Linked DNA regions of Caenorhabditis elegans. The protein of the gene in region 2 purifies or fractionates together with the protein of the main gene of each other region. This does not show direct contact. Each region holds a gene or a part of one and is shown on either strand. Other genes may lie near its edges.

What was found. The genes of interacting proteins can lie anywhere in the genome.
Region 1: the proteins of abu-12 (region 2) and eif-2Bepsilon fractionate together in Caenorhabditis elegans (co-fractionation; one large-scale study listed by BioGRID). This does not show direct contact.

What each region holds. Positions count from the first base shown.
Region 1 is NC_003280.10:8,659,987-8,665,311, reverse strand, and holds eif-2Bepsilon (Translation initiation factor eIF2B subunit epsilon), read right to left. Parts: upstream 3,444-5,325; 5' UTR 3,434-3,443; coding exon 3,308-3,433; intron 3,189-3,307; coding exon 3,061-3,188; intron 2,987-3,060; coding exon 2,883-2,986; intron 2,840-2,882; coding exon 2,401-2,839; intron 2,275-2,400; coding exon 2,199-2,274; intron 2,152-2,198; coding exon 2,063-2,151; intron 1,903-2,062; coding exon 864-1,902; 3' UTR 537-863; downstream 1-536. Other genes in the region: E3 ubiquitin-protein ligase etc-1, read right to left, coding at 1-158, 219-419; piga-1 (PIGA GPI anchor biosynthesis domain-containing protein), read left to right, coding at 3,724-3,755, 3,812-3,968, 4,017-4,139, 4,256-4,621, 4,673-4,988, 5,048-5,231, 5,281-5,325.
Region 2 is NC_003284.9:451,611-459,574, forward strand, and holds the start of abu-12 (Activated in Blocked Unfolded protein response), read right to left. Parts: upstream 6,001-7,964; 5' UTR 5,808-6,000; coding exon 5,699-5,807; intron 4,623-5,698; coding exon 4,527-4,622; intron 4,482-4,526; coding exon 4,365-4,481; intron 4,314-4,364; coding exon 4,021-4,313; intron 3,971-4,020; coding exon 3,854-3,970; intron 2,873-3,853; coding exon 2,678-2,872; intron 2,586-2,677; coding exon 2,367-2,585; intron 1,423-2,366; coding exon 1,063-1,422; intron 1,020-1,062; coding exon 954-1,019; intron 895-953; coding exon 757-894; intron 513-756; coding exon 37-512; intron 1-36.

The DNA of each region.
Region 1 (5,325 bases), on a different chromosome or scaffold from region 2:
CGTGCAAGAAGGAGGCGCTGCGTCTCTCGAATCCGTTTCTCGAATTCCTTATCCGAGGTTTTTAATTTCACAAGTTCTGATAGGGTCATCACTAATCTTTCTTCATCTTTATTCGTTTCATAGAAATTGACAAGTAGCTGAGCCATTTTGATAGTCTCCTGAAAGAACGAATTTTTGTTAACGCTACAAAATATATCATCTAATAGCAAAACTCTCACCTCTAGACCTCGCTGTCTATCTGAAACTGCATCAAATTCTGCACGAAAGAGTAAACGTTGATTGTGTTGTACTCGATGTCCTCTCCAAAACTTTTGAACTTTTCTCGCAGCCTTTTCTTGCTTCTCATCCTTTTCCCGTTTATGTTCCATTTCGCGGAGTCTGTTAAGAAAGTTGTCCCGCTCGTTTAGGCTTTTGATCATTGCTTCCTGTTTTTTGTCCCTCCGAACATCACCGTTAAAAAATACCAGGTTGAATGACATCTAAAATTGGAAACTAATTAGTGGAAATCTGAAATATTCAATTGCAAAACAAAAATAAATACTGAGTGTTTACATTTAACACTTATTCATTTCGAGATCAAAGCCGAATAAAAAAACCTGATTTATAATTTCAAAAATGAATAAGAAAAATAAATATGCCAAAAAGTGATTGATATGGGAAGAAAAGTGGTTGAAAACTTTCAGTCATAACAAGACCCGGAAAATTCCAACAATTCGAGTTACTAAAAACAAAAGAACACGGGGAAATTGAAATTATTCTTAAATATAAGCTAGAAAACAATTTGGAATATTCCCTATATCAAATTTTAGTGTTTGAAAAACATTTCTAAATATTAAATAACAAAAATGTGGATATAATGATTTCTATTCGTCCTCCGATTCTTCCTCATCATCATCTTCTTGTAACCAATCAACAATCTTTTTCATAAGCCCCTTCAATTTAGATTCTTCTGCAATAGACCCTGCCCATTCAATAATCGAATCTTCATCCAATATATCTGCTTCTTGATACAAATAGTGAACCAATGCCTGAGCTTTTACTCCAAAACTCTCATCTCTATCAAATTTGTCTTCAATGGCAAGAAGAAGTTGAATTTGGCATCTCCGTTTTAAATCCAACTCAAATCGTTTTTGATCTGCAGATTTTACTTTGAGCGATTCCGCCGATGTTTTATAGTAGTTCAGGAAAAGAGGTTGCCATTTAACAATAAGTTCTTTCATCTTATTAAAATCTTGATTATGTTTCAATTTCATGAATGCAGCGAATACATTTCTAGCAACCTCGTCCATTGTTACATTGCAAGCTAACTTTGAAGAGTTGATTTCCAAAATGAGATTCCGCATCAACGAATTTTCAGATTCCAAAATTTTCTGCATTGATTCTAAAACTTCATCATGGAACATTTTAGTTGAGTTTCCTACTCCATCGTCTTCTTCTTCAGATTCAGAATATTCGGATTCAGAATCATCTTCTTCCAATGCAAAATTAGTTTTTCCGTTAACCGATCGTCTCCAGAATGGTCCACCATTTCGGAATTTCGATACATGAACATTCCCAATTGGCTGAGAACTTAATTTCTCAAAAGTTTCCTCATTGATTGCATTTTTGAAAATCGCAGTATTTTGGATATTTGGAAGCTCTTTTGGATACATTACTCCATTTCCTATAATCGATTCTTTCGGAATGTGTGCGCCATTTGGAATAACAACATCATCTCCGATAAACGCGTACTCTATCACACAGTTTTCTCCGATTTTACAATTTTTTCCAATCATTGATGAAGTGATTCGAGTTTTCGAGGAAATTTCAGTGTGGGCACCAATGCACGAGTTGCGAATGAAAGCGTCATAGGCGATGTCCGTTTTGACGCCGAGGCATACGGTAGAGCAATTATTATTCAGTCTGAAAATAGTTCAAGTAAGTTATGTTGTTTGTAAACTTGTAAATTGAATTTTAAAAAAGGTTTTCTGACACAAGTTTTAAACTTTTAAGTTTTTAAAATTCCAATTTGTTGTTAGGTCCGAAATTATTTCTTACTGTCCTGGTGATCAGTTTTACTCACATCCAGGTATTGGCTTTTATACTGATCTCATCTCCATTCTCTTCTAAATATAAATTCCGAGGGTTTGCAGAGAAATATCGAGACGGATCCTGAAACTTATTGAAAATTAAAAATGATGAGGAATATATAAGCTTACTGAATTTTCGGGAACGAGTGGATAGAACCATCTTTCGAGCATCAGAATATTTAGAAGAATTAATGATTCGTAGTCACTGAAAATATAAATGATTAAAATAGTTTTTAGAAAAGTTGGTTTTCAATGCTTCGTAAATACGAAAACATGCATTTTACGTTTAGTTTTCAAAACATTCTTATCAAATTTCGATAAAATTGCTTACTATGCACAAAATGCTCTTTCCTTCGGTGACAAAACCTCGACATGAACGCTCATTCCAAGAATATCGTCTTTTGATAGAATTTCTCGAACAACATCATCAATTCCGACAAAATCAAAATTATCACTGAATTGAGTAGCAATCAGTCGACTACAAAAAGCGATTCCGGTTGGTGTTAGATCTCGGCGAATATCAACCTCGTCATAGAAATCTTTTTTCGATGCTTTCAATTGATTTAGCGAGTTCGCAGCCGGGAAGAGCATCAGTTTACTTGTTTCTGAATTAATTCCAAGAACCAAATGTTCTGGATTTTCGCGATTACTGTAGAGAAGAGTCATCACATTATCCGGGTTTTCTCTTCTTCGCTTACGGAATTCCGAGATTTGTGCACTCAATGTACTGCTAACAACCGCAGTTGGATTCGAGATGAGCATGAAATCGCCTGCAATTATTTGTTAAAAATACATTTTAATCTAAAAGTCTACCTGTGATCAGTTCTCTATTGTGTATCTCTCGCATACAATCGCCCACACTACTCGCTCCATCACAAACGACAACTGTGAATTCATCGAAGGCTAATCTCCACTCTCTGAAAAATTCAGAAATATATTTATATTCTATTGTTTTAAACACATTCACATTTAAATAAGAGTATTTTATTACCTTTGTACGCTTGTTGCATGATCTGCATTCAATCCACTGACAACTAGCATTACATTTTTTACTTCCGTTCGCATAAGCCAGGAGAGGGCAAAATTGATTGCAGGAACATTACAAATGGGGATGGTTCCCTGAAAAAATATTTATTTAACTTAAGATTTTGAATAAGCAGTGTTTTTTAAGAAAGCTATTTAGTTATTTTTTAGATTTTTATTATTTGTTAGCAATTCAGAAACCTTTCAGAACTTACAAAGCACGGATACGACTCGTGAGTCGGCGCAAATCTTTGATCAAAAGCATCTAAAATAACAATAGCAACCAAAGGATGCTCTTCTTTTTTCGGAGTTTTCTTGAATGCTGAGACAGGAGGCGTCATAACGAATATCCTGTAAATTGAAAAAAGTAAATTACAGGTAAATTTGATAAAAATAAGTACGAAAAATTAACGAAAATCGATAATTTCAGAGAAAGACATGTATTTCAAAATTTGCACATGGAAAATAGTGACGTCACAAAGAGAAAGTGCGGTAGGGCGTCATTGCATCTGCAAAATTTTAACACTTTTTTTTAAAGAAAAAACTGCTGAACTATCTTTTAAAAAAGATTTGCAAATTAAATTTAATATTAAACAGTGTTAAAATTAATTAACAATAATCACTTTAATGCATGTCGCTAAAAATTGGTCCGTACAGTATTGCGTAAGTGTTTTTTCTTCCTTTGAATCTGTATTTCAAGTATAAAACTGTATTTTCAGGTTGGTTTCCGATTTCTTCTGTCCAAATGCTGGTGGAGTTGAAACTCATATCTACTTTCTTGCACAATGCCTCATCGAACTAGGGCATCGAGTAGTAGTCATAACACATGGCTATGGAAATAGAAAAGGAATCAGATACTTGTCGAATGGTCTAAAAGTGAGTATTTTTTATTCAGAATTTTTCAATGATTTCTCTAGATTTCAGGTCTATTATCTTCCATTTATTGTCGCTTATAATGGAGCTACATTGGGATCAATTGTTGGAAGTATGCCGTGGCTACGGAAAGTTCTTTTGAGAGAAAATGTGCAGATAATTCATGGGCATTCGGTAATTAATCAAATAAAGACGTATTTTCAGTGATAATTTTGATTTTGTCGGAATTGATGATGTTGTTCGAGATTAAATAAAGACGTATTTAAAAAAACGTATTTTAAAAATTCCAGACATTTTCCTCGCTTGCACATGAAACACTGATGATTGGTGGCTTAATGGGGCTTCGAACAGTTTTCACTGATCACTCACTATTTGGATTTGCCGATGCTTCAGCTATTCTCACCAACAAATTGGTCCTACAATATTCTCTCATAAACGTAGATCAGACAATATGTGTGTCTTATACGAGTAAAGAAAATACAGTTTTACGCGGAAAGTTGGATCCAAACAAAGTGTCTACAATACCAAATGCCATTGAGACATCACTGTTCACACCGGATCGTAATCAGTTTTTCAACAATCCGACAACGATAGTGTTTCTAGGACGATTGGTATACCGGAAAGGAGCTGATCTTCTCTGTGAAATTGTGCCAAAGGTAAAATTACTTCTTTATTGTTAAGTTTTCCACAAATTATATGTTCTATAGGTCTGCGCTCGTCACAAGTCGGTTCGCTTCATAATTGGCGGAGATGGTCCAAAACGTATCGAACTAGAAGAAATGCTCGAAAGATTCAAACTACACGAAAGAGTCGTTATTCTCGGAATGCTCCCCCATAATCAAGTGAAACGAGTCTTAAATCAAGGACAAATTTTCATAAATACATCGCTTACTGAAGCGTTTTGTATGAGCATTGTTGAAGCCGCGAGTTGTGGTTTACATGTAGTCTCTACTCGAGTTGGAGGTGTTCCTGAAGTTCTTCCAATTGGAGAATTCATATCGTTAGAAGAACCAGTTCCAGATGGTGAGTATTAAGAAATAATATGTTTATCAAAAATGCAACAATTATTAATCCAATTTTAGATCTCGTTGATGCTCTTCTAAAAGCGGTTGATCGTCGAGAAAAAGGTCTATTGATGGATCCTACTGAAAAACATGAAGCTGTTTCAAAAATGTACAACTGGCCGGATGTAGCTGCAAGAACTCAAGTTATCTATCAAAAAGCCGTCGAGTCGGAGCCTACAGGAAGATTAGGAAGATTAAAAGGGTGAGCATTTTAAAATAATCGAATTTAATTTTAATAGCCTTTCTTTTAGGTATTACGATCAAGGAATCGGGTTTGGAATCATGTATATCGTTGT
Region 2 (7,964 bases):
GTCACATGATCTATTATTATTATTAAAAAAAGATACCTCTGTGCTCCAGTTGCCACTGATCTAGTTGCAACAGTTCCCCTTGTTTGTGGCTGAGAGTAAGCTTGGTGCAAAGCTCGTTGTCTTCTCTGATACTCTGCTGGATCGGTCGGACCGACAGACTGTGAGTTGAATGGTCCATTGAGTGGAAGATTCCCATTTGCAGCGATTCTTCTTGGAATAATCTGTTGCACAACTTGTTTGCCGTCTTGATAGTAATGAACAACTTGATTGGTATTTCCGTTGGCAGGCCTCTGAGGAGCAGTTGTGGCTTGGACACTTCCTTGCTGGAACACAACTTGTTGAGCGGCGCTAGGTCGGTTTTGGGCCGGTTGTGGAGCTTGCTGGCGGGGAAGTTGTTGAGAGGGGATGTGTGGTTGTTGGTTAGGTTGATGAGGCTGCTGTACTTGTTGCTGTGGAGTCTGTTGATGAACTTGCTGCACCTGCTGAGGTGTTTGGGCATTATACTGTTGTTGCTGAAGATAAATTTGATGTTTTAGTAAAAAAGTATCTCGAAAAAATTATATATTTTTTCGTTGGATTATCACTAAAATTTCAAGAAAAGTTCACACTTTCGAAAAATGGTGGCTTCTCTTTTTATGATCATGGTGATAAACTTTAAGGATCAGTGCGTCAATGGGAAATTAGTTTCTTGTAGTTTCTTAAAATTTGTTTTTTCTACGGGACTCTTACAAGAAAATATTGTTAGAAATTACTCACATTATAAAACTGTTGTTGTTGAGGTTGTTGAGGTTGTGGTTGTTGAACTGGGAATGGTGTCGAATAACCATATTGTTGCTGTTGATAACCTTGGGGCTGTTGAGTTTGTTGAGGTTGATGATAAGGTGGGAGGCCGTACTGGAAATTATTAGTCTGACAGGGGTCTATAAAATTTCAAAGGCGAAACCAGTACTAACCTGTTGATTATATTGATTATTTTGTTGTCCCCAGTAGTTTTGGGTTTGTTGTCCGTAGAATGGAGCCTGCAATTTGAATATGTATTTTTTTTTTTGAAAACCTAGAAACCTGGGTATAGTAAAACTGTTGCTGCTGTTGGTGGAACGGCTGCTGGAAGTGATTTTGATGGTTCCAGAAGTTGTTATACGGTTGTTGTGGTTGTTGAACTTGCGGCGCGACTTGTTGAGCAGTTTGTAGAGCAACTTGTGGAGCAACTTGTGGAGCAACTTGTGGATGAGTCGGAGCAGTCGGAGCAACAACCGACACTGATCTTGCTTGCTGAATATGCTTTGCTGATTGGGTAACAAGTTTTTGAGTCGTGGTTGGAGAATGGGTTGCACGTGTTGTAGTGGTTACTTTTGGTGCAGTTGTTGTAGCAGATGATGTTTTGGGTGCTTGGGTTGTTGTTGTTGTAAGAATTATTGGTGCCTTAATTAGACTCATGCAACTTGGAAAGTATGTATAGGAGAGTAGGTTTTAACTGACTTGATAGGCTAAGATGATGACATACGAATATGCTAAGATGTGTCAGTGGAGGTTGATGATTTTTTTTCAACTGTAAGTTTTGTTAGTTGAATTTAATAGCATTATCAATGTTTTGAAATGTATATGTAAAATTGTACAGGTAATACGTCACAACTGGTCAAATTTTGCATTGTGTTTTAAAGTTGAAATATTTTCCAAAAGATTCTTAACTAACCTCCAGTAAACTAAACACCTATACATCTTTAAAATCATAAAAGTTTGACGATTAATGTGCTTGTTGGAATCAGTTAAAAAACACCGATATTTTTTAGAAAATTAAAATTTGGGTTTCGCATTTGATTCAACAAATTTAGTGGTAAAGGTAGAGTAGCGCCAGTAGGATTTTTTTCTAAAACACTCGTAATGATCCAAGACGATTAAATATCATAATAAAAAACTCCACAATTTTTGAGATTTTTTTATAATTTCCTGTCAAAGTTTCGGCAGATTACCAAAATGTAGAATAAAATGAGTTTTTGGGAAAATCCAAAGCAGTGTCGCATGTTCCGACCCCTGCAATGTTTTAATACAAATAATGAAAACAAAATTAAGGTATAAAAAATGTAGGAAAAATTCTTTTTCTGGTCGACTTCCAAATTATGAGTGGCAAAAACTGATCACTTTTTGACAAAAAATAAATGAGTTGCAAAATTTTTTAGAAAAGTTTTAGTATGATATTCAGTCATTTCGGTATCATGTGAGTAGTTTGTAACATTTTCCTCACTAGAAAGCTATCTGGTTTTGAAAAACTAATTCCAATATATATAGGTAATACTATATGTACTAGTCTAGATCTGACGAGGTTTTCCGTTAAAATTCAATATCATTCCATGCACGTTCGCACTCACAATACTGGAATCAGTAAGATCTGGCAAAACTTTGAGCTCGTCGACTTGCTGCTGCACCACTATACTCTGCTCTTTACGCTGATTCTCGAAATTTGTGCTGATGATTCGCGAAGCATCAGTAATTTTCTGACGAATATTGTTTCTCTTGTCGGGAATGTTTTGCACCGCTGCATTGAAGTCATACTTTGCCGGTTTCTCAATGTTCTTATTCCCTTCCACCTACAAAACATAAAAGCTTGTTGAAAAGAATAACCAAGAAAACAAAGGCACCAGGAAGAAACAAAAAGAAAAAAAGAAATTTCAAAACTTACTTGAGCTACAATTTCATCAATTTCTTCCTTTGAAAGCTTGCTCTTTTTGAGCACTTCAACCAGCTTGTCAAGCTTCGGCACAATAGGTTGCGTCTTCGTTCCATGAGTAGCTATCACATTTCTTTTAAGTTCATCTGTGCTTTCAGCGTCGATAGTTGGAATCACTTGTTGGCCAATTTCAGTTTTCTTGTTTATCTGGAGAGAAAATATTTGGAATTCGTGAAAAAACTGACAGCTTAATTGAGGAATGGTTATTGAAACAGTTTTAGAAATTCATTAACTAAGTTGAAATTCTAACAACCAGCCTCACTATTCCAGTGAAACAAAATGTTTGACTATTAGGATATTTTATATATCAGAAAAAGTTTTACTATGTGGCAAGCGAAACTTTTCATTTTTACGGGGATACAAACTTTACGAACAGACACTAATTTCTACAGTAGTCGCATTTTTTGATTGGGTTTATCTTGAAAACGGCTCAATTTTTAAATAATGATGGATATGAAAAATGTTCTACAAACAATTTTGATACCCTCACACTTTGAATAGTAGAGCACACTCTCATGGGCGGAAGGGTTGCTGTTTTACAACTCAAAAAAAATTCTACAGTAGCTCAATAGATAAACAACAACAGAAAAATCTTCAATTTATCAATATCCGAGTTCAAATAATTTGGAAACCAACATCTGAATATCATGATAAAACACTCCAAACATTTTTATATTTTTCATAATTTCCGGTTAAAGTTTTGGAAAATTGCCAAAATTTTGAAAAGCATGAGCTTTTGAGGAAATTTAAAGAAATGTCGCATGTTTTGACCCCTACAATGTTTTAATACAAATAATTTAAACATAATTAAAACATAAAAAATGTAGAAAAAACAATTTTTTTTGGTCGACTTCCAAAATTATGAGTGGCAAAAACTGAGTAATTGCCACTTTTTGAGAGTCAATAAAGAATTTCAAATAATTTGTTGAAACGTTTTAACATGATATTTGGTCATTTTGAGACCATAGGAGTAGTTTTTGACAAATTCCCCATTGGCGCTACTCCACCTTTAAAAGATTTTTCGACTCGACGAAAACTCAGTTTGGAATTGTTTTTTAATTCCGTGGAAAATTAGTTGAATTTTTTTTTTCGATTATCAAGGTTTGAGAATATTTTTCACAAACTGACCAAATCCTCATAATCCAATTCTTCTTCAGGCTGAGTTTTCCCATTTTTGTCTGGCAGCTGAATTCTGATTTGACGCGGTGGTGGACTTGTTGGCTCAGTAGTTGCCTCTTCTTCGTACTGAAATTAGTCACATTCTAATTTTCTCCACATAAAAATTAAAAAAATACCTCGTCAGGTGTTGTAGTAGTTGTTGTTGATTCTGTAGTCGTTGTCGAGGTAGTTGGAGTAGTCGTGTCAACTTCATAGTCTTCTTCTTCAATATCCACAAGACCGTCAGGTGCCTTTGGCGTTTTTTTCTCTGTAACTCCCGGAATCTCAGCGTTCTCATCGTAATCGTCTATGTTCGGCGCGGGGAAGCTAGTCCCAAACTCTGGCCCAAGTCCGCCAGAAGTTTTTCCAGGTGCTGGACCAAGAGCACCAAGGTTCAAACCACCACCTCCTCCTTGCTTCATAAGTGCTTCTGCAAAAATTGTCTGTTGTTTCAATAGATCAGAAACGCTAAAATACTAACGAGAATTTTTAGCTGTCTGTTCTAAAACTGCTGGGAACCAATTTCCTTCCGAGGCCTGGTTTAGTACTCCAACTCCAGTTCCAGTCAGTTGCAGGGCTCCTTGAGCAAGCTGATACACTATAAGAATTTTAAATCCAATTTTTTTTGTCAATACCAACTTACACTGTCCAATCTGAGCTATCGCACCTCCGGCTTGACCGGCTGCCCCTGCTCCCGCAGCTCCCGCTCCAGCCAAGGCTCCCAATCCAGCACCATTTCCTGGAAAATTATATGTAAAAGTGTTTTCTATAATTGAAAATTTGTTACATATCTTAAATTTCGATCAAAATATACTTTTTTGTTGAATTCTATCACAAACAGGACATTCAGAACAAAAAAACCGATAAAGGTGTTTTCCATTCCTTCCGAATATTGCGTAAAAGATATCTCTTGTTTCCTAATGTATTCCGAAATCCAGTTCTTGCGTGATCTTCAAGTGTTTCTATATCTCTGCCAACCATCTCTGCCACCACTATTTCCCATTAGTTTAGAAGGAAATGATATTCGGCGCAATCGAACGGCATTTGATAAAAAATGAGGATTGCGTCGCCAATTCGCAACTGGGAGGAACGTGACAAAAAGAAGGATGCGGGAAAAGTGTATACATTGGTCAAACCTAAGTAGGGTTCTCAACAGATTTCACGAGGTTAACAACATGCTGACGTCAAATTTTTCTAGGCGAAAAATTCCTTGTAGGTCAAACCGTAATGGGATTTCCTGACACCACGTGACTTTGTTAAAATGCATATTTTTGAACAGTTGTAACGTCATTTTTTTACACTTTTTCATTTGCCGACACTACTTGAGTAACCCCATAAGAGTTTATCATATTATTTAACAGGGATATATATAGCATTAGTAACGTTGACAGGGATAAAAGATCTCTGTACCCACGTCTAGAGTATATATTCAAAGAGTTTGCAATTTCAAAAGCTAAAGCGTTCAGATTTTCAAATATAAAGCACACATTTGAAAACTGTAAAATAAAAATAAAAATACTATTGAAAATGACAAAAAATGGTCTTCCAAAAGTAGAGGCTCAATTTTAACCTATTTTTCAAGAAATAAAATCACAAACAGAATATCACTGTCTTGCAAATAAAAAAAATATACCAGAAGCTGAATTTAGTTAAATGAAAAATAAACTATAGACCCTACTCCAAAACTTTATAGACTCTGGTGTACGATTCCAAACGACAAGGTTCAGCAAGTTAAAAAAAATGACAATTATTAGAGTGTACAAAATTTTAGGTTTTTGAATACTCCACGTAATGCAATTTCAAGTCACAACTCACCAAGAGCCCCCCCGAGCAGGGATGTCGCTAACGATGCAATTTCCCCGAATTGTGCATCGGTACCGGAGATAAGTAAAAAAATGAAGGAGGCGAATTTCTCCCAACGCATGTCAAAATGCGCTGTCAATTCAAGAGCGAAGTGAAAGAAAATGAATTGGGGACGAGGCAAGGCGCAACCGAATGACTGTGTTTAAGACGATCAACACGGGCAACACGAAGCTGCTGCCGCTGCTTCTGAATGCTTTTCGGAGAGACAGCGAGAGAGAGGGGGCCTGCTGCTGACGAGCTTCTTTCTAGCCAACGAGGGAAGGGGGTGGAGGAGAAGAGGAACGAGATATGGTCGGAGAGAAAAAGAACGAAAGCTTCGGCAAGCACTGACGACGGTCAAGTTAATGCCATGGTCATCTCTTTTTCGGACTGGTTTCATCTTCATCTTCTCCCCCCTCAATGCCTATGGCTTCTTCTTGTCTACCGCCAACATTTTTCTGGCGGGACACACTGAAGACTCAACGCATATTATTGTGTTTTTAATGCTTTTTAGTTTTAAAAAGAAATGGAGAGAAAGATGAAGAATGGTCGAGTTATTATCCCGTTTCGTGTGTTTTCACTGAATTATGTAACATTTGGATTTCAAAGAAAACTTTGGGATGTAGTAAATATTCAAAATCTGAAGTACAATTAGACATAAAGTCAATCTTATCAAAACAGGCAACCCCACAAGATGCATATGCCAGGAGGTTTGCTTGAAATTTACGGAATGCTCTAAAATATTTTAGTGACATTGGGAAACTTCTGCAAAGCCTGCAAGAGATTTCTACTTTTCTGAAAAGTTAACCAAGTTTCCTTACTCTTGATTTTTTTGTGTTGGTGTTCGGTGGCTAATAATCGCAAAATCTAATATCAAGCTTCATCGGAAACAATTAAAGTGTTGCATATTACTAATTAGCAACAACATAGGCTTCTGGTTTATTACTTGTCTTGGCAAATGTTGGTGTAGACAGATCGTACCTAAAATCATTGTAACTTCGTTTGCAGTGACACAAATTGATTTTTCACATGCAAATTGATAAACCAGGCAAAAAAAGATAATCCACAGAGATCCCACAAACGAAGGTAGGCAGAAAAGCTGTTTAGTTAATTTTTTTATAAATTTTGAAAATTTTTTGCTTTCATTGGAATTACAATTTTGTTGAACATCATCATGTGTTACGCCTTCTCAAAACAGAAAATTTTTACTAAAAACTCAGAATATATACAATTTAATATTCAATACATTAATACAATTCTATACAACCTATTCAATTCAAAAATAATGTTTAAATAAAATGAAAAATCGATATTTGCAAACAAATATAACACTAACAGTGGTTGCCAAAAAATGTGGAAGTTAACGTTTTATGATTCTTTCTTGATGCATCCTCATTTAAAAACTTAGAGCATCGCCGGTGGAAATATAGTTTAAACACATTCATAATGATTGAAAAAGACGAAATATCATAATACAACAACCAAACAAATTTTAGATTTTCCATAATAATGTTTTGACAAATTGCCGAAATTTTGATGAATACAAGCTATTGAGAAAATCCAAAACAATGTCGCATGTTTCAACCTCTACAATATTTTAATTAAAATAATTAAAACAAAATTACAATATAAAAAAATGTAGAGAAAAAAAAGTTTTTGGTCGACTTCCAAAATTATTAGTGGCAAAAGCTGAGTAATTGTCACTATTTGACAGTAAATAAAAAATTTCAAAAAACAATTTGGAAAGTTTTATTATGATATTCGGTCGTTTCGGCACCATACGAATAGTTTGTAACATTTTCCCACTGGCGCTACCTCATCTTCAGAGGAGGACTAACGATTTTAAATGTTTAGACCCAAAATGTGATCAAACGAACGAATTTCATATTGAAACTGCTCAAATTTTTTCTGAAAAAAAAACTTCGGACCACTACGGCAAAGAAAAATAGGCTAATTTCGAGCTTTTAACTAAAGTCAGTCCCATTTTTCAGAAATTTTGAACCGCCATAAAAAAAAGTTGAATACAATTTTGAGAAGTCTAATTACGAAATTAGTTCATATAAGCACATTTAGAGATCATCATACGTTCAAAATCGTCTGAACCGTTAGTCCACCTTTAAAGGCAAGGTGTACTCATAAAGATGTTATCAATAGATTTAATGGGATCACTTCTTTTTATCAACATCTTGATTCTAATCTTGAGGTTATTTGGGTAAAAAAGGCAGATGTTCTGTATTCA